3 linked regions of the Oreochromis niloticus genome follow. The protein of the gene in region 1 purifies or fractionates together with the protein of each later gene. This does not show direct contact. Links are inferred from orthologs where the notes say so. Each region holds a gene or a part of one and is shown in the gene's direction. Other genes may lie near its edges.

Region 1 (7,351 bases):
CTTTCCTTCAAAGCGCCGGTGACTAACTGAAAAGATTGTTTGAAATGAAGCAGGAACAGTGGTAGTACTGACAATAGCTCTGTTCCAATTATGCACCACTAAACCTAATGAGATCATTACTGCTATTTGTACTTACACCTATGTCTTTCCTGTTACAGGTTAACCTGGCTGCTGGGGTAAAAGGTTTAGCACCATCCTGACACCACAAGCTACATTCAGCTGTCCAGTTATTTCCCAGGGGTCACCCAGTTAATGCTGAATGTCCTTCCTGCCACAACACCAAAAGAATTTGTCCACGACACTATGATGGTCCCGTCATGTTGAAACAAAATATTCAAATACTGTAATTCATGGAACTTGGAAATGAGGCTCCGTGTCACAAAAATAAATTTAAATACATAAACATTGGGCTGCCTGGGGTTCAGTAAAGTTGTCAAATAAATACACAAATCAGAGCATAAATGTTGGTTAACCAAAATTTTTATTCACAACCATAAACAGCGAGTCAGGTTTAGCGTTTTCCACCGACGCGAGGTGCGCTGACCTTCATGGGCTTGGCGATCTTGGGTTTCTGTGCAGCCTTAGCAGCGGCCTACAGGAGAAGAAAATCAAGTAAGGTCTTGTACAACGAAAAACTTTGAATTAAGTTGCTGAATAATTGAGTGAAGCCTGAAGAGCAAGCAGTGGGAAACTAAAAACTTGGTTTGACATCTTATTGAATAATAATGATTAAATAACTTCAATACAGAGCACCGGCTCTTACCTTTGCAGGTGGTGCAGCGGGCTTCTTGGCAGCCTGCTTTGCCTTCTTGGCCTCCTTGGCAGCTCTGAGACAACAAAGAGAACCAAATTTAGTCCAAACTAATCAAAGTGACCAAAAAAATAAAATAAAATAACAAATTTCTTTATATAATTTTTTTAATGTATGTATTTGAATACTTTATTTTTAACTTGAATATTGGTTGCTCATGACCTCAGCCCTTTTTGCACCACTCACTGTGAGAAACGTGCTTTATAATTGTATTTTATTATGACTGGAAAGTGAACTTGAAGTGCTATGAAAGTGTTCACTGTAGTAATTATTTACAGCCCATTTTAAATAGTGACTGATTACACTGACAGGCTGATCAGAAGCTGTTTTTACTGAATATTTCCAAGCACTGATTAAATGTTACAAATCTAAAGGCTTAAAGACTGGACTAGAATACCAACAACATTAAAAAAAAACAACAATCTAAAGATGGTGGCAGCATCCGTATTTTCTTGTGTTTAATAACATTAAGCTTAAATCCAGCATGTCTGTGATCAGCTCAGGGTCATAGGTGCAGCTGTTCCCTCATGCAGGAGTTCAACCTGGGGGTTTTCTGACTGTTCGGTGAGTGTTTAAAGAACCAGAAGCGTCGGCATTCAGAGACTTTTGCTAATATCACTCGGTAATGTTAGATGTGTTCTTTTTACGATAAAACTAATCCTGAAATAATGAATTTCAGGAATTTCAGTGTCTAGTGCAGCAGCAGAGAGAGGGCTCAGTCTGCAGAATGAAATTAAATCAGGAAGTGCTGCAACATCCTGTAATTCACTTTATTTTAATTATGCTGAAGCAAGCCCCAGGTTTATGTTCACTCAGATTATATTTGACTGCTGCGTTTGTGTATCAGCTAAGTCTGCAGGGGGAAACAAATAAAATCATTTGTTTCTTGCTGTGTTACTATGAAAAGTCCCTGCAGTCAGCGTTTCTCCCTCAATGCCCTCATAAAGGCACTCTCTCCTGTTTTATTAAATTCTAGTTGTTTTAATGAAAACTAACACAAATAAATCTCATTCTTAAAAATATGAAACCAATAAAATGCCCAATGCAACCTCTGGGCCAGTCAGCCAATATCATCTACACTGGATTCTAATCCAACCCTTCTTTACTCCGAATAATACTCTGACACAATTTTATCAACTTCAAGATCACAAGACAAAAAAAAAAAAAAAAAGACAAAGAAAAAGAAAAAGAGGTACACAGGGTACTTTGTCCTCTTACCTGATGGCCTGCTCCCTCTGGGCCTTGCGGACCTCAGGCTTCTGGTTCCTCTTGGCCATGATCTCAGCCAGGGAGGCGCCAGTGATGGCCCTCGTGAATTTCACTGCGCGGCGGGTACGCTTCTTTGCCACCTCTTCCTGTTAAAAAAAAATGTAATACATTGGTTTACTTAAAAAATAATGATGGTTTTTCATGAAGAATGAAAAAGAATAGAAGACAAACCTGTTAATCACAAAGAAATGAGTGGCTAATCTATCTGAAAGGAAATGTGTCTACATATTTACTCTAGTCTACACCTCCAAAGTGGTGGTTGCAGTCATAAATGAACAGTTATTAACCAATTTTCTCGAACTGCCCTCTAAGGCATGACAAATCAGTGTTAAAGCATGTGTCCAGCCATCCAACAAGTCAGTTTTGCGTGTTTTCTGATGCATCACCATCCATAGGAACCGTAACAGTCAATAGCTGTAACCATGAAAATCTAAAAACCTAAGATAAATTGAGGAAAATACTTTGTCATGCTACAGCAATGGTGAGTAACCTAAGTTTGAATAACTCAGGATATTGTAAACAGAAACAGATTTCTTATGTTTGGCTTTAAATTTCACAAAGCTAACACCAAATCCTTGAACTACTTTAACAGGACTACACACAATCCATCCACAGGTAGCAACTGTCAGCATGTCGGAGAGTTTGGAGGCTGACCGATGATAATATGTCTGCGAAGACGTCAAAGGCCAGTACTATGATCTCCAGATATTCTGTGGCTGCAGGTGTGGAGTGAGCGCTGCTGCTCAGTCTGCAAAACACAGTCGAGCAACAACACGTAACACGGACCAACACCGTGCACACCATCCACCCGCAGCCAGTCTGATGTATAAATTGGAGCTTGAGTAAATGTGACAATCAACTTTTGTATCTGATAGCTAAGATTAGTTTGTGAGTTTCACAAATGACCAATATCAACACAGCAATTAACTGCTGGACCCACAAAGTCTGTCTGCCATGGAAAAATAGTAGCTATATTTTCACTTCAGTCTCCTTGTAAACAAATACAAATGATGAACTCATATACAGGATTTTACTTACAGACTGGCCCTTCTTGTGCTTGCGTCTGTACAGCACAGTCCAGTTGATCTGTCTGGGGTTCCTCTTGGCCAGGAAGGCAGACTCGCACTTGGCGTTCAAAAACTGGAACACCTAACAAGAGCACAAAAAAAATAACCGAATGTTACTCATGTCTGCCTTTAATTATGACAATTACACCCTGTACGCATCCACCTCAGCTACAAACTGACTTTGGATGCTGACAGCAGTCTGTTATATGTGACAAAAACTGAATCTAAAGCGCATGTTGCATTGTGGAACTGTTCACATGTATCATAAACTTGATACATAACGAAATTTAACTGCATTAATTTTAAGTAGTAGGCAACAGCTCAGGACAGAGCCACATTCTGAGTGAGGCTACATCCTAATGCATCTTATGTTTTCTTCTGGATGTACTTACACAAATAAATGGCACTTTATCTAAAACCCCTGTAGGCTCTTTTCAGAACAATTGGCAGTCAACAGAGCCTGTAGGTGTCTATGACTGCTTTCTATCGCAGTCAAATACACCCGTGTGGCTGAACCTAAAAATGCTATCGTTTAGCTGCTAACATTAGCGGGTTTTACAGGACTCAATTGGGCCCGTTGTGAGTATCTTACAGTAGACAAATTTTATAGCACATTCACAGGGGATATTTAACGCTGAGCCGGTAAAGTGATATTCATAAAAATAATTTTGGGACAGAGCGAGAAGAAACCGGTGTCGGACTTTGCCAGCTAGTTACCTTCCCGTCTATCCTGGCGTATCGGCGGCCATGGCCGGGGTATATTTTATACCCGCTGAAACTGCACAACTCGACCCTGAAAACGACAAATACAGATCATCAGCGAAAGAGAAGCGTACATAGTTTCTTTTAACGTACTTATCACCCTTAAAGTATTTATTTAAATACTGAGATGGCATTTGATAGCATTGCATACACTCACTTCATGATGGCTACGAGAGGGCACAAAACCGGAAAGAAAGATGACGGATGCGGAAACGGAATTTACTGACTACAAGATTGATATTTGTGAACAAATTAAAAAAATCTAACCGTTAAAGTTTGAGTAATGCTTTAAAATCAGTGAGCCTATACGAATTATTTTTTTCTATTACAAAAATATATTAGTCAAATTTATACATTGACCAGCAGCACAATGGTGACGTCACATTTTGACGGTTGCCTAGCAAGCAATGAGCTAGCTGCTCTTGTCTTAATAATACAGAACAGCAGTGTTTTAAACACTCTAAAATGAAATATAAGATGGCTATGGTCACTTCAGACGCATTTTTCCTATTAACGTTAATGGTTTGCTTCTTTATTCTTTGCTTAAACCTGGCTGGCGCGTTTCAGCAACATTAGCGCGCTGTAGGATAATTGTAGTCTTTTCGACTTCCATAGACACAACGTTGCAAGGGACGAGACATCCTTTATGAACTACAATTCCCAGAGCCCCTCGATTACGCAGTTTGACAACACACAGACGCTTCTTGTCTTTCCCACTACAGTACACAGCAGCTAACGCTAGCTGTGGTCCGGGTCGATAGGATGGGTGTATCAGATTTACAGTTTGATAGAAATGCTGGTAAGTTGTCGGTCAGTTATTTTAGTCAAACATATTAACATTCATTTGAAAGGTAGCCGATAGGAAGATGTTTATCACCGGCGGAGGTTAACGGGAGAGCACTACAGAGTGCTGCCGTTAGCTAGTTCACCTTACACGAGCATTAAAACATCCTGCGTCAGTCCCTTTCTGGCATATTTGTAAATTAGATTTTAGCAAAGTTTTCCGAAACCTTAAACATGAAAACAGTCTGTCTGGGACAGATTTAGGTTCTGCAGGTGTTGACAGACTGGCACGAAATGCGCACTGGGCAGAGGCTTGATTGTTTCTCGACCTTGTTAGCCTTCCAATGGCAGTAATCAATAGCAGATTATTTAAACCAATTCAGGGGACCTGCCAGAAAATGTAACTAATCTTTTTTTTTTGCATTGTAGATGGCTAATTATTACAGTTCTATACCCATTCATAAGCTATTATAGTAGTCTGTGTAACCCATAATTAACCCATCACCACTCTGCAGTGGAGTACAAGAGGGGTACTAAAACTGACATAAAGTTGGGTGATTTTGGAGAAAAGTTCAGGTTCAAGATAAGCCCAATGCTGTTGACTTATGAGATATACTTAATGTGCGCTTGACTGATTTCACAAGATTTGGTACAAGATATCTTTATGGAAAACCAAGACCCACGTTATGCTTTTTAAGTCTGTTGAATCTCTTTATCCTGCCAGGACCTGTGGTGGATCTTTCGGCCCGAGGTATGCAGAAGTTGGAGCCCAGTTTCACCTGCTCAGAGGACACTCACACTCTCATCCTGGACGGGAACAACATCATGAAGCTGGACCACCTAGAAAGGAGTCCAGGTCTTCAGCAGGTAACAAACTCTTTAGTTTAAATTTATCTACATTATCTTCCCAACCATTAGAGTCCAGATACAACACACCAGTTCATGATTTGATGTCTTTTCTTTCTTTTTCCTCTTTAGCTGTCTGTAGCCAGTAATCGTCTGGTGAGAATGATGGGTGTGTCTCGGCTGACAGAGTTGAGAGTCCTAAATCTTCCCAATAACAGTATAGGCTACATTGAGGGGCTGAGAGATCTGCCTCACCTAAAGTGGCTCAACCTGTCTGGCAACAATATTAAGGTGAGGACATGAGATATTTTAACATCCTTTATACAGATCCTGTAATTTACTGACAGCAAACAGTCCATGTATAATGACAAATATTTAATCCACTGTGCAATCTTTCACACAGGTCATTGAGCAACTTAACAACTGTGTCTCCCTTCAACACCTGGATCTGTCTGACAATAACATATCTGCCATTGGTGATCTGACCAAACTGGTAGCACTAAAGGTCAGTGTGCTGAGACCTCTGAATTTGTGCTCAAACTAGCTCTTTATTAATGGTATTGTTGATTTTCTTGATGGTATCATTTTCTGTCAATGTTGCAGACTCTGTTACTTCACGGAAACAGCATCACAACACTTCGAACTGTCCCCGCTCACCTTCCTGCTCAATTATCCATTCTCTCCCTGGCAGAAAATGAGATTAGGGATCTTAATGAAGTAATTATGTTCCCCCTTATTTAATACAGCCACACTGGTTATATTAAAATGACCTAATATTACTCTGACTATAAACTGATTACCCCAGATGTCATACCTGGCGCCACTTCATGAGCTGGAGCAGCTGTCCATTATGAGCAACCCTTGTGTTATGGCGACCCCATCTCTGCCTGGTTTCGACTATCGGCCATATGTCATGAGTTGGTGCCTGAGCCTGAAGGTCCTAGATGGCTATGTAGTGACACAGAAAGAGGGGTGTGTATATTCTTATGCTTAATATCATCGGTACAAAAGCATTATCAGAATGCCTGAATGTCTTTTTTTTTTCTTTTTTGCTGTGTGTTATTGTTAAATTTACAGTCTGAAAGCCGAGTGGCTCTACAGTCAGGGCAAAGGTCGCTCGTATCGACCAGGACAGCACGTTCAGCTGGTTCAGTACCTGGCCACTGTCTGCCCTGTGACGGCATCACCTGCCCTGGAGACAGCTGAGGATGCCAAATTGGAGAAGATTCTCAGTAAACAGAGGTTGAAATCTTAATATAGATAAACTGCAAGGAAAAAAATCATTACCCAATATCCACTTCTTGGTCATGGTAGCACACACATTCTTAATCCTTCATAACTGTCTCAGGTTTCATCAGAGACAACTGCTGGAGGAGACCCGGGGAGGCTGTTGCAGTCCTCCTCGTCCAACTCAGCTCGATGTGGAGAGTCACAGTCCTTCACATACAGTTCCTCAAGGGGGAGCCAGAGAGTTGAAGAAGATCACTGTACCTGGACCAGCTGTTCCATCAGTCCCGCAGACAGGTAAGAGGGCTGCTTTCCTCGTCCTGGTCCAGGACCAGTGAGAATCATGTATTTGAATTAGGTTGTAGTACTAATCGTTGACTTGTCTGTTTTCCTGTAGAGCCAGTTGTTCGGTTTAACACCTGGGTGAGCTCTGACTCTTCCAATCCGTCGCTGCCCATAGTATGTCGCCCAAGGCTGAGCGAGGAGCAAATTTATTTGGAGGATGTGCAGACAGGTGAGGACAAACTCAACAGTAGCATGCTTTCCTCAGAGTCCACCTTCATCCCCTTCACATCTGATCTGGAGC
Region 2 (7,517 bases), on another chromosome or scaffold:
TGTGTTTTCTTGTTTTTACGACAGGAGGTTTAATAAATAGTAGAGCTGAATAAAATCAAATGGAAGCTTACTGTACAGTCTACTCAAGTTTGATGCTGCTTGTCAGTACTAATTTAACCTTTTTTTTAATTTTTAAAGCAGTTTAACTCATTTAACTTGTATATAAATGCAAGAATTTATCCAATCTAGGTTAGTAAGAAAGGGGCAGGTATGGAACCTAATCATAGTACACCAAGAAAGAGTCAAAAATATATTTTTGACTCTTTATCGATGACAAAAAAAAAATGTTTTTTTTGTCATTTTTATTTTAGATTTTACAAATGAGATGTGAATGATTGAAAACTGTAGCAGGTTTGAAAGCTGTCAATTTCTGCTTTTTCCATGCAGGTACTACTACCAGAGAGGCATACTGAATAAGGTTGAAGGCCAGCGCCTCGTTTACCAGTTCACCTCTCTCCCCAAAGACATGATTTACATCACCGACGGAGATGGCATCAAAGAGGAAGACGACGAGGACCACGACGACAACAGCGTCAACGACGAAGGCATGAGCGACGACTCTGACAGTACCATATCGTCTAGTGACCATTCAGCGGAGGAGCAGGAAGATTCTCAGCCACCGCCAAAGAAATCGTCCCCCATCTCCGGCCGCGCTCCCGCTTCACAGCGCACCAGGCCCGCTCCCAGGCCCTCAGCTCAGCGCGACACCGTCCTGCGTCCCACCAGCTCCAGTTTGATCCAGGAACAGCATCTGCCTATCGTGTCAGCTGAGATGCTACGCACGCTCCAGAACCTGCAAAAGGTCCAGTCTCTGAAACCCGCCGGTCATGCCTCAGTCTTCAAAACGGCTCAGCTGCTGGGGAGTCTGTGCGAGCGACAGGCTGCTGCCGAGGTGGCCATAGGGAGAAAAGGTGTGCCGGAGATGTCCGAGAAAAAGTCGCACCCAGGACCAAAAACTCCACAGCTCATGTCTCTGATTAGCTCTGACCAATAAAAATAACAGGTGCCCACTTTCTATCGAACACACAGATGCCTGTACACTCCACCGACTCAGGACCACTTACAGGGCTGCACTTTGCTATGACAATGCTGATTTAAAAACAAGGACTTTTGGTGTAGAATATTATTTTAGATCATAAGTACAGATCAGTGCTTTTGTCACAGCGCTGACAGGAACCAAAATCTCACAGCAGTTTACCTTCTCAGCTTTGAAATCTGATCATTTCGCCTTATTGTCATTCTGTGTAGCCCTTTGTTAAACCAACACCAAAGACAGACATGCACTGGAATCTCTGGCCTCTCTGCACTGCCTGCAGACGCTTTCTCTGCTTGCACTTCAGCTCCAGTGTCCTGGAAGCAATTATCTTATCACCACACTGTGCCCTTCTTCTCTGCTTTTTGCTCTCACTTTCTCCTACGTTGTTTAGTTTTGTGTCTTCATGCTATCACGTCCTGAAGCATTCCTTTGCCTTAAAAGTGGCTTTGCACTAATGTTTACCTCTGCTGTATATTTCTTCTGAAGTGCCTGAAGATGTCAGTCCATCCTATTCCTGGTAATCATAAGGGAAAACATTCCATATTGTTATTGTTATTATTATTATTATTATTGTTGTTGTTGTTGTTTTTTAAGATTGCTGCAAAACAAGGGATCACTGTTATTTTTTCAAAGTAGTATTTTAGCACTTGCGCTGTTTATTATTTGTTTATCTACACCATGGGACTCTTTTTTTCTATTTTCTTCGTGACAATCACCAGTGAAGTGGCCTTGTAGCCACCCTGCCTCCTGTAAAATTATAGTGCTACTATTTATCTTTTCTCTTGTGCACTAGCTATCCATATATGAGTGCATATATTAAACTCTGAATCCTCTATCTGTATGCGTCTATTACGCACCGTAGGGCCTCAACATTAAAACCACTGTGTTGGCTGAAGTGAACACTGGTCATTTCGTTACAGTGCAATGCAATGTTTGGCTGGCGTTCACGTGGGTTTAGCATCAAGCTCAGCATTGCAGAAGGCGCCAGCAGCGGCATCGCTGCACAAAGCAGACCTACATATTACCAGGCTGGTGGTTTTAATGTTTTGGCTGATCTTTGTGTACTGTATGCCTGTGAAAGCTTGTTCTTTTGATGCCATTTTTTTTTTCCTTCCCTCAGGTTTATAAAGCATTTTTGTGCTGCACATATTATGTACTCTATGCAAGAAGTAAAAGTGAAATTGTTAGTTTATTATTTTCTCTTCGCCCGGTCTTAGCGTAGGCTCACGAAGCCGGCTTACAAACTTCACCTCACTCCAAATTTAAAAAAAAAATATGACTGAATAGTTAGGCTGGCTTTTTGAGAGGCTAAACTTGGCAAAGAGATGCTTATGCAGTAACTGTGCCTGCAGGGAACTCTTATGCAGAACTATTTTCACTTTGTTATAACATGTTTGTTTGTTTGTTTTGGTGTTTTTTTGCCCCTTGCTCTTCAGTATGTGTCTTGGGAATGTCTTACCTTAATAGATTTGTAAGCTTGTAGTAGAGGGAGAGGTGGAGCTTGTTTTTTTTGTTTTTGTTTTTTTTTAATGCTGTGTTGTGTTTGCTTTCATGCAGTCCAGTGATGTTAAAGCTAATCGTCTATTATATGAAATAAATTTACATTTGTCATTGTGTGAAATCCATCATTGTTCCTTTGGAAGACTTGGAGCATCAGTAGACGTAGCTTGGTGAGTGTATATGTCGCATTTGAGCAGTGCATTCAACTGCTGCTTTATCAGTAAAGGCCTAATGCAGTGATACAGATCTGCCAGAACTACTTCTACAGAATTCTGACACGATCAGTTTTTCTTTTTTTGCTGTTGTCAGAAAGGTGTTAATTCTATTTTTGATTTGGTGAAGTTGTTTTTTGGCTTACCACATTAACACTAACCCGTCCTGTCATCGTGATAACTCACAAACAAGCTGATGTAGGTTTTTCCAGCTGATACCATAGCTGCATTTACTAAAAATCATGGACAAGTTTGCATCTCTGTTACCTTGTCAGAGGTCAAGCTCTGTGAAAATCTTGTGAACATAGTAACTGAAGAAAAATGTCACATAGGCTTTTCAAATTGATACCATTGAGGAGCTTGTAGGTGGCTGAGGGGTAGCAATGGCGACCACCAGTCTTTTTAACATACCAGTGGTGCTAATCTGAGGTGGCAGAAGTGCAGATACCTCTGTTAAAAAGTGCTCTGGTAAAAGTTAAAGTACTGATTCGACTTCTTTACTCAAGTAAAAGTGAAAACTACAGGCTCTGAAACGTACTCACAGTAAAGTAGCTCTTTGGAGGGCCTTTCTATACCAGCTATTTTTGTGCAAAGCTAACTGAGCTATAGTAATATAATAAAATGACAGTAGTACATAGCAATGCAGTCTTTATTATATAATTTCTGATCTAAATTTTATTTCTAATGAATGTATTCAACTTGAATCAAGTATGCAGAACATGAACATAGAAAAAGAAGTTTATTTTGTGTTGCCTACAGTGTAGAGGGTGACTTTTCCTCTAAACAAGAAAATGTGTACAGTCAGGGGTTAAAGTTGATTCTGCACATGGGGAAACCCCAAAATCCACTGTAGAGGCTCAGTGTGGGGAAAAGAATGAGAACTCGCAATAATTTCTTCTGTGAGCTCCAGCAGATTTTCTTAGTGTACCGGCTGTGGTCAGCTGACCTGCTGCTCTTTGTGGACATACGCAACTGAATTCAACAGGATGTTACATGTTACACATACATACAGCATGTACAAGGATAGATAACACTAAATATGTCCCAGGGAAGAGGATTATTCTTCAGTCCAAAAGTTTTCCTCCTCCTGAGATCAGCAACAATATTTTTAAACACATGCAGCGTCACTGTTAGTTATCTTTTCTTCAAATAGCTACTTTACCTCTTGTTCTCCAGATGTGAACATTAATAATGTACACGACTACCTAGAATGGATGTCTTTTACCATCCCGCATTATTTCCTTAAAGAGACGTGCAACACAAATTTGTCGACTACAGTCAACATTACACCCCACAGCCGATTCGCTGTCTTATTTCCGTTGTTCTCTGTCTGATTACAGATCCAGCTGATGTTGGAGCATTTCATCCTCACAATGAATCATTGGACATTTTTGTGCTAACATAATAGGTCCATTGTACCATAGCTCTGACAGGAAGTCTGACTGAAGTCTGACTGAAATAAGCCATGTCTCCGTAATTCTCGGATATATTGTATCATTTATGTTTCCTGACCGTCTGGGGGAGTACAAATTGTTTGTGTTTATATTCTATCAGCCCCCATTTTTATTTTCATTAATGGTATTATACATTTGTTGGTGGGTGACCGTATCCAGTTTCAATTTAAACGTTTCTATTCTTTGACAAATCTGCCGCCTAATTCTCTGTCCAGAAAATCGTCTCCTTAAAAAAAAAAAGTTAGCGATAACTCCTCCGGGCCGTTAGGGGGAGTAGAGGCAGTATGAGCTGCGCGCAGCCGGATGTTGACAGGCTCTCTGCTGTGTTTGAGCTGTAACTGTTACCGCTATCACGTTTCTCGTAGTCTCCACATCTAGAACTTTCCTGTCACTCCAGAAACACTGTGCACATCCACAGAAGCAGATGGCAACCGAACGGTAAGTTCATCTAAATCTATCAATGAACTGTTCTTATAGCAGCAGACATTTCTTTTCTTTCAGTTATTTAACGCTAACTTGCTTTTTTTTGTTGCTTTTAGCAGCTTCCCCGATAGCTTCATTGACGAAGATCCACAGAAAGCTCTGCAGGTAAAACACTAGCCTCAGCTAGCCACAAACAAGTTTGTGCGATGCACGGTGGCTCTTGCAGGATGTCCATTTAACTTTAAATTCAGTGGACTTACTCTAGAAAGGAAATTGAGTAATACCTGTGGTGTTTGTGTTTCAGATATTACCAACAAGCTAGCGAAGTTAGCCAACATGTTTGCTAGCCCTATTTAGTTATGAATAAAAGTAATCCCAGAATCGCTTCGTTATCATATCAAACGGTCACCTGTTTCTTTAATACCATTAAGAATTAAATATGTCTCATGCGTGAGGAGGTATTACTACATAACGTTAGCTCGAAATAGTCTGCTGCTGGATACTAGCCCTGTCATCCTGACATGAAGTTGTTAACTGTCAACAGACTTAACCAGTGAAGTTTATTTCTGCTGTTTAAAAAGCCTCTGGTGAATCTGCGGTTATTTATGTGACTAACCGGGGCAGTATTATGAAAATCATTACAGTTTGATTTGCAGGAATAACACAGATTCAAATAGATTTACAGAGAGCTGATTCTTCTATAACGATATCCGACTGCGAAAGTGAAAGTTGCAGATGCATAACAGCTCTACTTTCGATTTAAGCATTTTTCTAGAAGTTTCTTTCCTGCCACAATTCTTGAAGCTGAAAACACGATTTTAAGCCCTTTATACAATAATAGCCACCTCGTTATTATTTTCAGGAGCTTAACGAGGCCTTACAAGGAGACTCAGACAACGCTGAGTGGTTTTGTCAGCGTGCCTATGCCCACATACTGCTCAAGAACTACAGCTGTAAGTCTGCATAGCACATGTGGAAACAGACCACACTAATTGTATTTTTGATGCATTATTAAGTGCATGAACATTATGTGCGCATTACAAATACGTGTTGTTTAGCTTTTGAGGTTTTACACTGCATGTGACTCAGCCTGGATATATGCACTGCATAAAGAAACATAGTAATTTTTTACTTTTGTTTTATGTCCACAGGTGCTGCTGATGACGCCAAGAAAGCACAACAGCTAAAACCCAGCCTCTCTCTTGCTTTCATGCGCACAGGGTATGGACTGTGAAATGCACGCCTTTACATAGCACTTTTCTAGCCTGACTGACCACTCATAGGGCCAAATTTACTAAAAGGGGCAAAATGGCAAGTGAGCACAATCCCCAAATAGTGCTCGCAGGTGTGGTTAGTTTTATAAGCAATGTACAAATATACTTTACAGTACAAGAAAAGCTTAAAAACACTGTGGGCCTTCCTCACATCCATGGCCAATTCAGAATCACCAACCTAACCCACAGGGGTCCACCCTGGCATGCAGATGTTTAGCTCAGTTTAGACTGCACTTCATTTACTGTTTGATATGTTCATCTCACCACTAAAAAAAAAAAGGTAAATTAACTAAAATAATAATTAAAACATGTAGTTTAATTGATTAAAAAATTATCCCTTCTGACACAAACGTACAGCCAGCTTTATTGACAAGATGGGATGAAACCTGCTGTGTATGGCTCATGTTTCTGATGTTATCTGACGGTTGTCACAAAACTTCTTTCAGCTCAGTGATTTCAATTCTGAAGGCCTTTGGTTCAGTGCTCCCCCCACACCCCAAACCTGACCTCTAACTTAAAGGAAAATTTTGAAAACCCGTCCTCGTCCATCAAACAAACTTCGGTCAGAGCTTTGTTTTAACACACAAATCACCAAAGTGGTACTGTCATGCTTTTTCACATTTTCCATTTCAAGCGGGCCTCGGAGGAGTCATCCTTGCCTTCGTCTCATCACGTTTGAACTATTGTAATCCACTCTACTCGGGTCTCAGACAAAATTCAGTCACCTGCCTTCACCTCATTCAAAACAAATTCACAGAGACAAGACAAAGTGATTTAAAGTTGAGCTGATTTGAAGCTTTTTTTAAAGTTGTATTTATTGTTACTTTTAAAACCTTGCATGGGCTCATCCTACCCGCACTGTAGATTTAGTTGGTTGGTGTTAATTGAGCGACTGGCTGCGTTTGTCAGGTCAGATCATTCTGTTCCCACAATACACCTCATTACATAGGTGTTTGAGTGTTTTCTGTTACCATAGCAACTGAGGTTAGCAAACTCAGTACTTTGAAATCACTACTCAATACTTTTCATAGTAAATCTATTTTTACTGCCCCTTTATTATTTCTTTGATTTACTTCTTTTCGTTGTGTTTATTCACCTGTTATTCACACAGCATGTTCAGATTTTATGCCTTGTTTTAATTTGTTGCCTCTTTGTTTTTATATATTTATCATGTTTTGTAAAGCAATTTGTAACTATATTTTATATATTTTTTCTTTATTGTTCTTATTATGTGGTCACAATATAAATTTGGTGTGGTTGCATTATGTAAAACTTCACGTTTTACGCCTTGCAATGTAAGAATTGTCTGAAACCTTTAAAGTTATACTTAAAAATGTAATTTCTAAAACTACCATCCATTCATTTTCTTCCGCGGAAGTGGAAGAAAACTACCAGTGTAGTAAGAAGTCTGATTTCTGCGCTTCCTCAGAAGTTAATGCACAAAAACTACCAAAACATTTTGCTTTAACAAGGTAAATCATACAGATGTTGTTTGTCAGATGAAGCTGCGTTTATTTTTCCAAGATTGCCTGATCTAAGTTCATGTGGCATGTTTTTCTTGCCCAACTGCAGAATAGCCGAATATCACCTGAACAACTATGAGTCAGCGCATGCAGCC
Region 3 (7,983 bases), on another chromosome or scaffold:
GTCCTCACATGAAACGAGGGCGGAAGATTGACGGACTGATAAAAACACACTTTTTAATTTCTAATACTGCAACAGACCCTTTTGTGCTATTTAACCCCACAGTTTCTTTCTTCTGTTTGCCTGCTGTACTTCACATTCACCACCCACAGCCATCTGCATTTCTGCAAACACTGGTCTCAACCAACGCGGCCTTCCGGCCTCAGGGATCGATAGCTTGCCCTGACCAGAGATGCCCTCTGGATCCCGGGAGTTGTGACAGCACACGCCAGCGCACTGCACACTGCACACTTTTCCATAATCCCTCTGCTCCTCATCTTAACTCGACCTCCATCTGCATCGCAGTGTAGCCGGACCAACCGTGAGCTGTGGGGACTGAACGCTGCGAGGCCTGGGTCAGTGAATGTGCTGCGGGATGACTTGGAAAGCAATGGCAGGTGCACTGCTGCTCACTCTGAACCTTATTTTGCTGGGGTGGGGAGCTGAGGGCCAGGGAAACGGACGTGATAAGGTATGTTACTGCGATACACAATGCCTAGAATTAAAATGTGCACTCTGTGTGTGTGTGTGTAGGAAGTATCATCTATATGCACCTTTTCAGCCTTTAATGAAGTCCCTGATTCTCTGCAGAAGCATGGATGACTCTAGTGACATATATTGTTTCTGCACACTTACATGCTACAGCTCCTGATCATTGGAAATATCTGCATGTATCATTTAGATACATCTTTTTCTTTGAGAAAAATCTACTTTGTTGGCTCATAGGTTATGTTTTAAAGAATAAAAGTCTAAAAGTCCTGAGCTAACTCATACTGTATCCAGCTCATGTGCCAATCAAAAGGGGAGGGGGGATCCCATCATTTGCTTAGACTTTGCTCAGTTTGCTCAGTTTGCAGACACATCGGCATAATTAAGATAAGAGAGGAAATACTTTACTTTTGTCCCAGTTTCTGGAAATTACTAACACAAAAAGAAAAGCAAGACTTGTTTTTCCTCTTAAATGTTCTACATACACATGGTTCATATCCACAAGTGAATGTTGTGTGGTTGCTCTTGTCAATGAAATGCAGTGATGTGGCACTTCATCACCACTTAATAATTTGCGCACACTGCTCTGTTCAGCTTTTTTTTAAAGTCGAATCAATAACTGAATAAATTTCATCTCTCGGTTTAATGTGGTTTTAACGAGCAGCCAATGAAGATCTCTGAGTGTAAAATACTGAGGCCGAGTTCGATAAATGAGAGCTGCGTGTAATAAAAAGCTGTGAGTAACGACCTAAGTGTCAGATCAGTGCGAGATGAAGCTTGTGTCTTCCAGAAAGAGGTGCCGGGCAGTTCTACCGTCTATCTGGGCCAGAACACGCACGACTGGAGGCCGCTGATCCACACAACGGTCAACCTTAGTCAGATCGGCAGGTACGTGAGCGATGGAGCAAATCAGTGCACCGTTAAGCCTGCACAGCAGCTCCTCTGTGGGCATAAAGGTGCACACAATTCTTCTGGGATTTCAAATTAAAACGTGACCTTGAAGTTCAGTTTTTACTGAACAGGCGTACATGAGCTCTCTAAGATCAGTCAAAGATAAATAAGGCAGGTTGTCTTATTAATGCACCAATGAGCAGCCTTCACTCCAATTTACTGTATCTTTATTCTGCCACGCAGCATCAAATCCTCCTTTCAGTTCCGGACATTTGACCCAGAAGGTCTGGTTTTCTACGGAGACACACAAAACGGGGATGACTGGTTTGTTTTGTCGCTGAAAGACGGCGTCCCCCTGATGCAGATCAACAAAGAAGGCGTGCTCGTCAGCGTAGCGGGCACCCCGAGGCTCAATGACGGGAAATGGCACACAGTAAGCATCCAGTGATCACTTGGAAATCAGTTTGCTGAACTCTAATTGGCTAAAGAACTGCTTTATGATGCTTTTTAAAAACTCGCCCCCTTATCCTTTTCCTTATTTTCTATATTTTCATATATATATATATATATTCTCACAGTAATGGATGTTCATATTAAATATTGAGGTCAGTTTATATGCAAATTATTATGGTTATGGTCATATAAGGAACACAGCTGTGAGCACACAAATCCCGCCCATCTGCTGCTCGTGGTTTGTTTGCAAGAGACAGCCAATCAGAAGAAAGCTGGAGTAGCCTTGAAGGGGGAGTGGCTAAAACTGCTGGTTTCAGGCAGGGAGAGAACTCTGGAGCTGCACAAAGGCTCCGTATAAGAAATTATGAAGGGCTCCTTGAGAGCGCGAGAACAAAACCATGTTCGAAATGAGCATAACAGCTCATCTTAAAACTGGCTAACTGTACCGTTTGTTGTTCTCTTGATGCCACCAAGATGGAAGTGAGCAACCAGGGCAAGTTCGTAATTCTGGAGGTGGATGGCACTGGCGGGCTGGTGGTGGGCATGCATTCCAAGCAGATAGAGGAGGTCATTCACGGTAAATTACGACTGTCCCTTGGCGGGATGCTGATCGGCAAAGAAAAGATGATTGTTCAGGTACTTTGTGTATTTTGCACCTTTTGTTTTAAACCACACTTCAGCTGCAAATAGACCAGATGCTGTTTTCCTCTCCTTGGACAAGACCTCTGGAAAATAGCTTCTTGAACATGTCTGAATCATCCACCTCGTGCCCTCTTCCTTTAGTTCAATCCCAAAATGGATGGCTGTGTGCGGAAAGGCAACTGGCTGAACCTCACCGTCCCATGGGTGGCAGAGGCAGACGAGCTCCAGCCTTGCTATGAAAACATCCAACCTGGCAGCTACTTCCCTGGCACAGGATTTGCCATTTTCAACACCTCAGGTGGGAACACTCTGCTAAATTATCCCAGATACGAGCAAGTGTTTACACTCCTTTATTCAATAACAAGCTTTCCAGCTGGCCCGGATATTGCATTTATGCATGATATGGCATCTCGGGTAGCAATATTTCTCCTACTTCTAAGTAGTACTCCTTCTAATCAGATTCAGCACGTTAATTTGTATTTATTTAACCAACTCAACACATCCACACATTTCTTTTTTTCCCAGATTTCCAGATCGATGAAGATCACGGGGTCCGTATTGAACTGTGGGGGGATTTCAGCCAGATGGACGGGACCCTTTTGAGCATCAAAGCTGATGGGGAGGAGCTCGTGTTCTCTGTGGTAGCTGATAATAACACAAAGGTATCCACATAAGTCAGATGTATTTGCCCTCGAAGCAGGATTATTAACTTAGAAATGATGTTTGTTTCATGCAAATAACACACACAGATCAGTGTACGTCACAGTTCTGTTTCCATTTGGCATGCAGGACTTCACATTCACCTCTAGAGAAGAGGTGCTCACCATGAAGAACACTTTCAAGAGGCTCCAAATTAAGTTTCAGAAGGATTCGCTGAGGGTGGTTAAACATGAGGATGAATCATCGGCTGATTTTTCAGTCAGTGCAGGGAGCAACACCAGTTATTTATCAGCTTGGAGAGATGGTCATCTTGCCATTGGAGGCCTTTTGGGTGAGATTGCAGCTTTAAAGTATTTCAGTCTAATCCTGTATCACTGTGCAGCAACACAAAAAAAGGATCTGCTCTGTGTAACTCGTGAAGACGATCAATTTCTTCATCTATTTTGTCTTTTCAGGTGAGAATGACGACGATGTCGGCTCCAAGTTCTTGACAGGCTGTCTGGAGAAGATCCAGGTCCAAGGGAAGGATTTGGATCTGGATTCGGCGCGCGTCAAACACGTGTCCGTTTCCTCTCACAGCTGCCCCGCTTAAACCACGAAAGCATGCTTACACTTTATGGTATGCTGAGTAGACATGGTGTTTGCAGTGATGAGCACTAAAGTGTTTTAAGTCAGAATTTTATACTTGTACCAGTGAATCTCCAAAGTGTAAATAATTTAGTGCTAAATATTAATATTTTATGAGATGTCTCTTCCACTTTCCCACTTTTAACACAACATACAGATAAATCTGATAAATGTGAGCAGTTTTGTGACCCTGGTACGTGCAACAGCAAGCTGCTGAATAAAATATGACTTTCCCTAAAGTGGTTTCTGATACATATTCATTTTTCTGGTATATTTTAAGGCAAAATAGAGGCGTAAGATGTGTTTGAGGATTGTAATCCTCAAACACATGAAACAGATCTTATTTTGTTATGAACACCTTTATTCTTCAGTTTATTCTTCTTCAGTTTTTTGTTGTTGTTTTTTTTTTGTAATTTCTTTTAATAGTCTCCAGGAATAGTTGTCCAGGCTTCCTGAAGGACATTCAAGGCTCTTCTTTGGATGGTCGAGGCTACCATCACTGAGTGTAGTCGATGTCTTTTAAAGCCAAATTTTAATTCTAATTTTCTTCAATTCTTTCAACTTAGGTTCAGCCAGTCTTTTCACGCATGCCTCACAAGAACCCGCTCGCTGTCGCCGAGTGACTGATCTTAGACATGAAAATTGCTCCCTCTAGTGGTTAATTAAATATAATGTTAAATTCATCAGAGCCTTGTGTATGACGTCATCTATCCCATAAATTAGATACACGGAAAAAGTACAAATATTACTCATCAACTTTAAATTATAAAAGAAGAAAAGAAGAAAGACTATAGCAAATATGAATGAAATGTTCAAGATCAGTTTCAGTTAAAATTATGTCTGTATTCACTTATCGCTGCAAGAAGTCATCAAAATGTTATGTGCAGCTTTGAAATGAACTGGAAGATGTGAAAGGTCGGGCAACACAGACAGATAAATAGATTTATTTTCATTCAAAACATTATATACATTTGTTTCCCAAGACAGCGTTAAACTAGCAGTAAATAGAATAAAAAAATATAATAACACCTATTAATATTTAACTAGACAATCATATAATAATAAAAACACATACATAAAGCGATAAAATGCAAACTGATAACGAACGTGACTCTAACTGTAGTTAAAGTAGAAAGTTTTTAGCCCTCGAGCCAATAAAGTGAGAAATAATCAAAAGTGTACAATGAGGCTACGGTGAATGTAGAAGCGTTAGCTTCTGAACCAAAGCGTTTATATAGGCTTTAAAATGACGCCACGCTTTCAGTCATTAAAGCCTGCGGTGCGGTTGCTAACGATTCCACATATCTGCCGGCTGCCATAATGTTACTGTCGCAAAGCCTCGCTGTCGTGAATACTGGCCGCCCACTGAAGATGGCGGCGGAGCTGCATCCGCGGAGCGGAAAGCTGATCGGCCTGTCCAACTCGAACCGAACCGCCCGTCGCAACCAGCCAGTCCAGGAGTTCAATCACGGCCTGGTGCTTAGCAAAGAGCCGCTGAGGGACCGGGATGTCTTCACCGTCCGCATTGACAAGAAGGTAAACAAACTGCAGGCCCGTTGCTGGCTCCTCTGAGCGTGTGTGAGGGCAGCGGGACGGGAGCGGAGCTGGAGGGACGAGCCGGGGGTCTGTGGCTGTCCGCGGTCTAAAGCTACTGCTGCTGCTAGGGCGGCACACACAGGGCTTGACAGTAGCCGCAGTGTTTACGGCTCCTCAGGCTTTAATTAGATACACCGACAGAGACTGGGGAGGACCGCAGGGAGCTGATAAACAGCCTGCTGTGGGCTGGATGTGATAAACGAGTCTCCTAGCTAACGATAGCCCGCCCGTGTTGCCTTGGTGCCGTCAGATAGCCGTGCTAATGAGCCGCTAGCAGGCTGGCCAGGGCTAGCCTTTCTGGAAGGTGCTACGAGGGCTTTGTCTGGCGCTGACAGGGACCCGGTATCGTTTTATCGCGTGAAAGAATCCCAGCTAAGCCGGTAAGTGCGGCTCTTTTAGGGCTTGTTTTGAAGGATCGGTCGCCTGTCAGGCTGTCTGTCCGATGGCTAATAACACTGCAGTGTTCACGCCACACGGGGCTATCGTAGTGACTCAGAGGCCATGTGTGAACAGTACACAGTGACTACACCGAGGCTGTTACCACTGTCATTAATATTAACCAGAGCCTGTGTGCTGAAAGCCTCAGCTCTGCAGCCTCCGCTCACCTCTGTGCGTATGCAAAGCGTCTGCAGACCGCTAGAATTGCTGCTCAAAAAGTGGAGCACGGAGGTGACTACTTCATGCTGTTACTCATTAATTACATGCACTCTTTCGGCTGACTTCACAACCATTTAAACACAAAATCACGGATATCATGTGTCTAACTTTACTAGACCTGCTGCTGTTAACAGTTTTCATCATCAAGTTAAGTGCAGGTGATCTCTTTCCTTTCTTTTCCCTTCATTTCCAGTCAAAGTCCTGCCTCTCCTCCATCACAAGTGCAAAGAGAGCTTACAGCTACAGTTCACATCCACTGATGAAGCTTAAACCAGTTTTTAATTATGTAATTTTGCAGGTAGAGGTGGCCTAATGTTCTGTTTCCTTGAATTAGCAGCCTTGACCTTGTTATCTCCATGCATTAAGAGTGCCTGTGCAGAGTGTTTACATTTCAGTTGTGGAAAACCTCCGTTGTAATGGCTTCTGTCTCTGCAGTCGGCCTCCCAGCTGCGCTTGCCAACAACATGGCAGCACTGGAGTCAGTGCCAAAGCCAACTGGGCCCCACACACACACGAAATGACAGTGTGTCCAGCCGTCTAAAAGCATAGCGTGTGTGCACGTAAAGCATCTGGCTTAATAGCACCTGCTGCACGTTAGATAATTATGCATCCCTGGTGGAGCTCTCAGCCTGATAAAGGCTCTCATAAACAGGCTCCCGCCCCGTCTTTGCATGCATTGCCAGTCTGAAAATCAATAGTTTGTCATCATGGAGCACCCGCTGGTATGACTCTGAGTGCTGACGTCCAGGGTGGGGGGACGTAAACACATGAGGGGGAATGAAGTGATTTATTGGAGCAGGACTCTGCGGGTGTTTTTTCACTTGAGGAAGAAAGAAATGATCTATGATAGGATTCAGCAGAAGATCCAACTAGTGAGATGGAATACTCTGTCACGCGTTTTGCATACTGGGAGTTACTTAAAGCTAAAATGATTAGCTGTGTTTTGTCTTGTGTGACAGTATCAAGTTTTGAATTGTGCTTAATGTGATGAGTAGATCAATATAATTGGCACTAATATCTACTTTGAAATGCTACTTTTCTTGCTGTTACTGTTTAATTACGAGTTAACGCTAAAGTCATAGGTTTTCAAGTCTAACGTGTTTTTAAAAGCACACAAATTCAGCAAGTTGTGCCACTTTGTGTTCCTCACAGTCATGCCGATCTGGCTGGAAAATGTTTATTCGCTCCCAAATGGGAGTTTGTTGTTGTGAGAATTTGTGCCCCAAAAGCTGAGCCTCTGCGTTTCCTCTCTCTAGCGGTGCTCCCCATAGGTGGTGCTTTTGAAATCGACAGGCTATAAACTTCTCTGTTTCCCTATAAAAGATGCTCTGTTGTCCCGCTCAGTGTGTATATTTGCAGCCTGCGATTATTAGTCTTTTAGAGTCGAGTCGAGTGAAAGACTGGGAGGCAGACGCCCACAGGCTGCTGTTACGTAAGCGAGAGCGCGAGGGAAGGAGATGTCTGTCTCCTCCACACACACAGACCCGGTCAGCCTGAGCTACTCCCAGATCTGTTAACCCAGATACCCTGGCTGCGGTAGCACACTGCCTTACATAGCACCTGCCGCGGAGCTGAGGAAGAGGTGGGCAGGAGGAGGCTGACTGTAGTGTTAAAAAAAAAAATGGTATTGATCCTGGGGAAAGTGTCTTTGGCACAGAAGTCAGCTGCAGAAAAACATCCCAGGAGCTGGAAGGGTTTCAGTGATCGGTCACGGTCATCTCTTACACTGGAGTCCTACTGGGGGTGGGGTGGGGGTGGGGGGGTTATGACTGAGCATAAAGCTGAGGCTTTTATCCACCGCTGAGGTTTTTGTCAGATCCCTTTCTCCTTGAGCAGCAGGTGGAGTGCAGCGAGCCAGGAGACGAGTCCTCGTCGAGACGACAGGGGTTCGTGGCTCTGTGTCGGCGAGCATCTGCTGCGCTCAAGTGTTTT

What was found.
Region 2: the proteins of cep97 (region 1) and sugt1 purify together in Homo sapiens (affinity purification with mass spectrometry; 3 studies listed by BioGRID and IntAct, with this or other methods). This does not show direct contact. The link is inferred for Oreochromis niloticus from reciprocal best matches to the Homo sapiens genes CEP97 and SUGT1.
Region 3: the proteins of cep97 (region 1) and neurl4 purify together in Homo sapiens (affinity purification with western blotting; 4 studies listed by BioGRID and IntAct, with this or other methods). This does not show direct contact. The link is inferred for Oreochromis niloticus from reciprocal best matches to the Homo sapiens genes CEP97 and NEURL4.

Annotation. Positions count from the first base shown.
Region 1 is NC_031987.2:20,767,945-20,775,295, forward strand, and holds the start of cep97 (centrosomal protein of 97 kDa), read left to right. Parts: upstream 1-4,344; 5' UTR 4,345-4,671; coding exon 4,672-4,708; intron 4,709-5,416; coding exon 5,417-5,559; intron 5,560-5,670; coding exon 5,671-5,829; intron 5,830-5,941; coding exon 5,942-6,043; intron 6,044-6,141; coding exon 6,142-6,255; intron 6,256-6,343; coding exon 6,344-6,510; intron 6,511-6,615; coding exon 6,616-6,780; intron 6,781-6,886; coding exon 6,887-7,062; intron 7,063-7,162; coding exon 7,163-7,351. Other genes in the region: rpl24 (large ribosomal subunit protein eL24), read right to left, coding at 512-592, 764-827, 2,030-2,166, 3,119-3,229, 3,865-3,940, 4,067-4,071. UniProt on the Homo sapiens protein: Acts as a key negative regulator of ciliogenesis in collaboration with CCP110 by capping the mother centriole thereby preventing cilia formation. Required for recruitment of CCP110 to the centrosome.
Region 2 is NC_031982.2:7,942,024-7,949,540, reverse strand, and holds the start of sugt1 (protein SGT1 homolog), read left to right. Parts: upstream 1-4,480; 5' UTR 4,481-4,626; coding exon 4,627-4,640; intron 4,641-4,741; coding exon 4,742-4,790; intron 4,791-5,487; coding exon 5,488-5,578; intron 5,579-5,776; coding exon 5,777-5,846; intron 5,847-7,471; coding exon 7,472-7,517. Other genes in the region: ETS-related transcription factor Elf-1, read left to right, coding at 388-994. UniProt on the Homo sapiens protein: May play a role in ubiquitination and subsequent proteasomal degradation of target proteins.
Region 3 is NC_031967.2:17,604,347-17,612,329, reverse strand, and holds the start of neurl4 (neuralized-like protein 4), read left to right. Parts: upstream 1-4,946; 5' UTR 4,947-5,118; coding exon 5,119-5,334; intron 5,335-7,983. Other genes in the region: shbg (sex hormone-binding globulin), read left to right, coding at 401-508, 1,316-1,413, 1,660-1,849, 2,344-2,505, 2,653-2,809, 3,037-3,173, 3,301-3,502, 3,627-3,763. UniProt on the Homo sapiens protein: Promotes CCP110 ubiquitination and proteasome-dependent degradation. By counteracting accumulation of CP110, maintains normal centriolar homeostasis and preventing formation of ectopic microtubular organizing centers.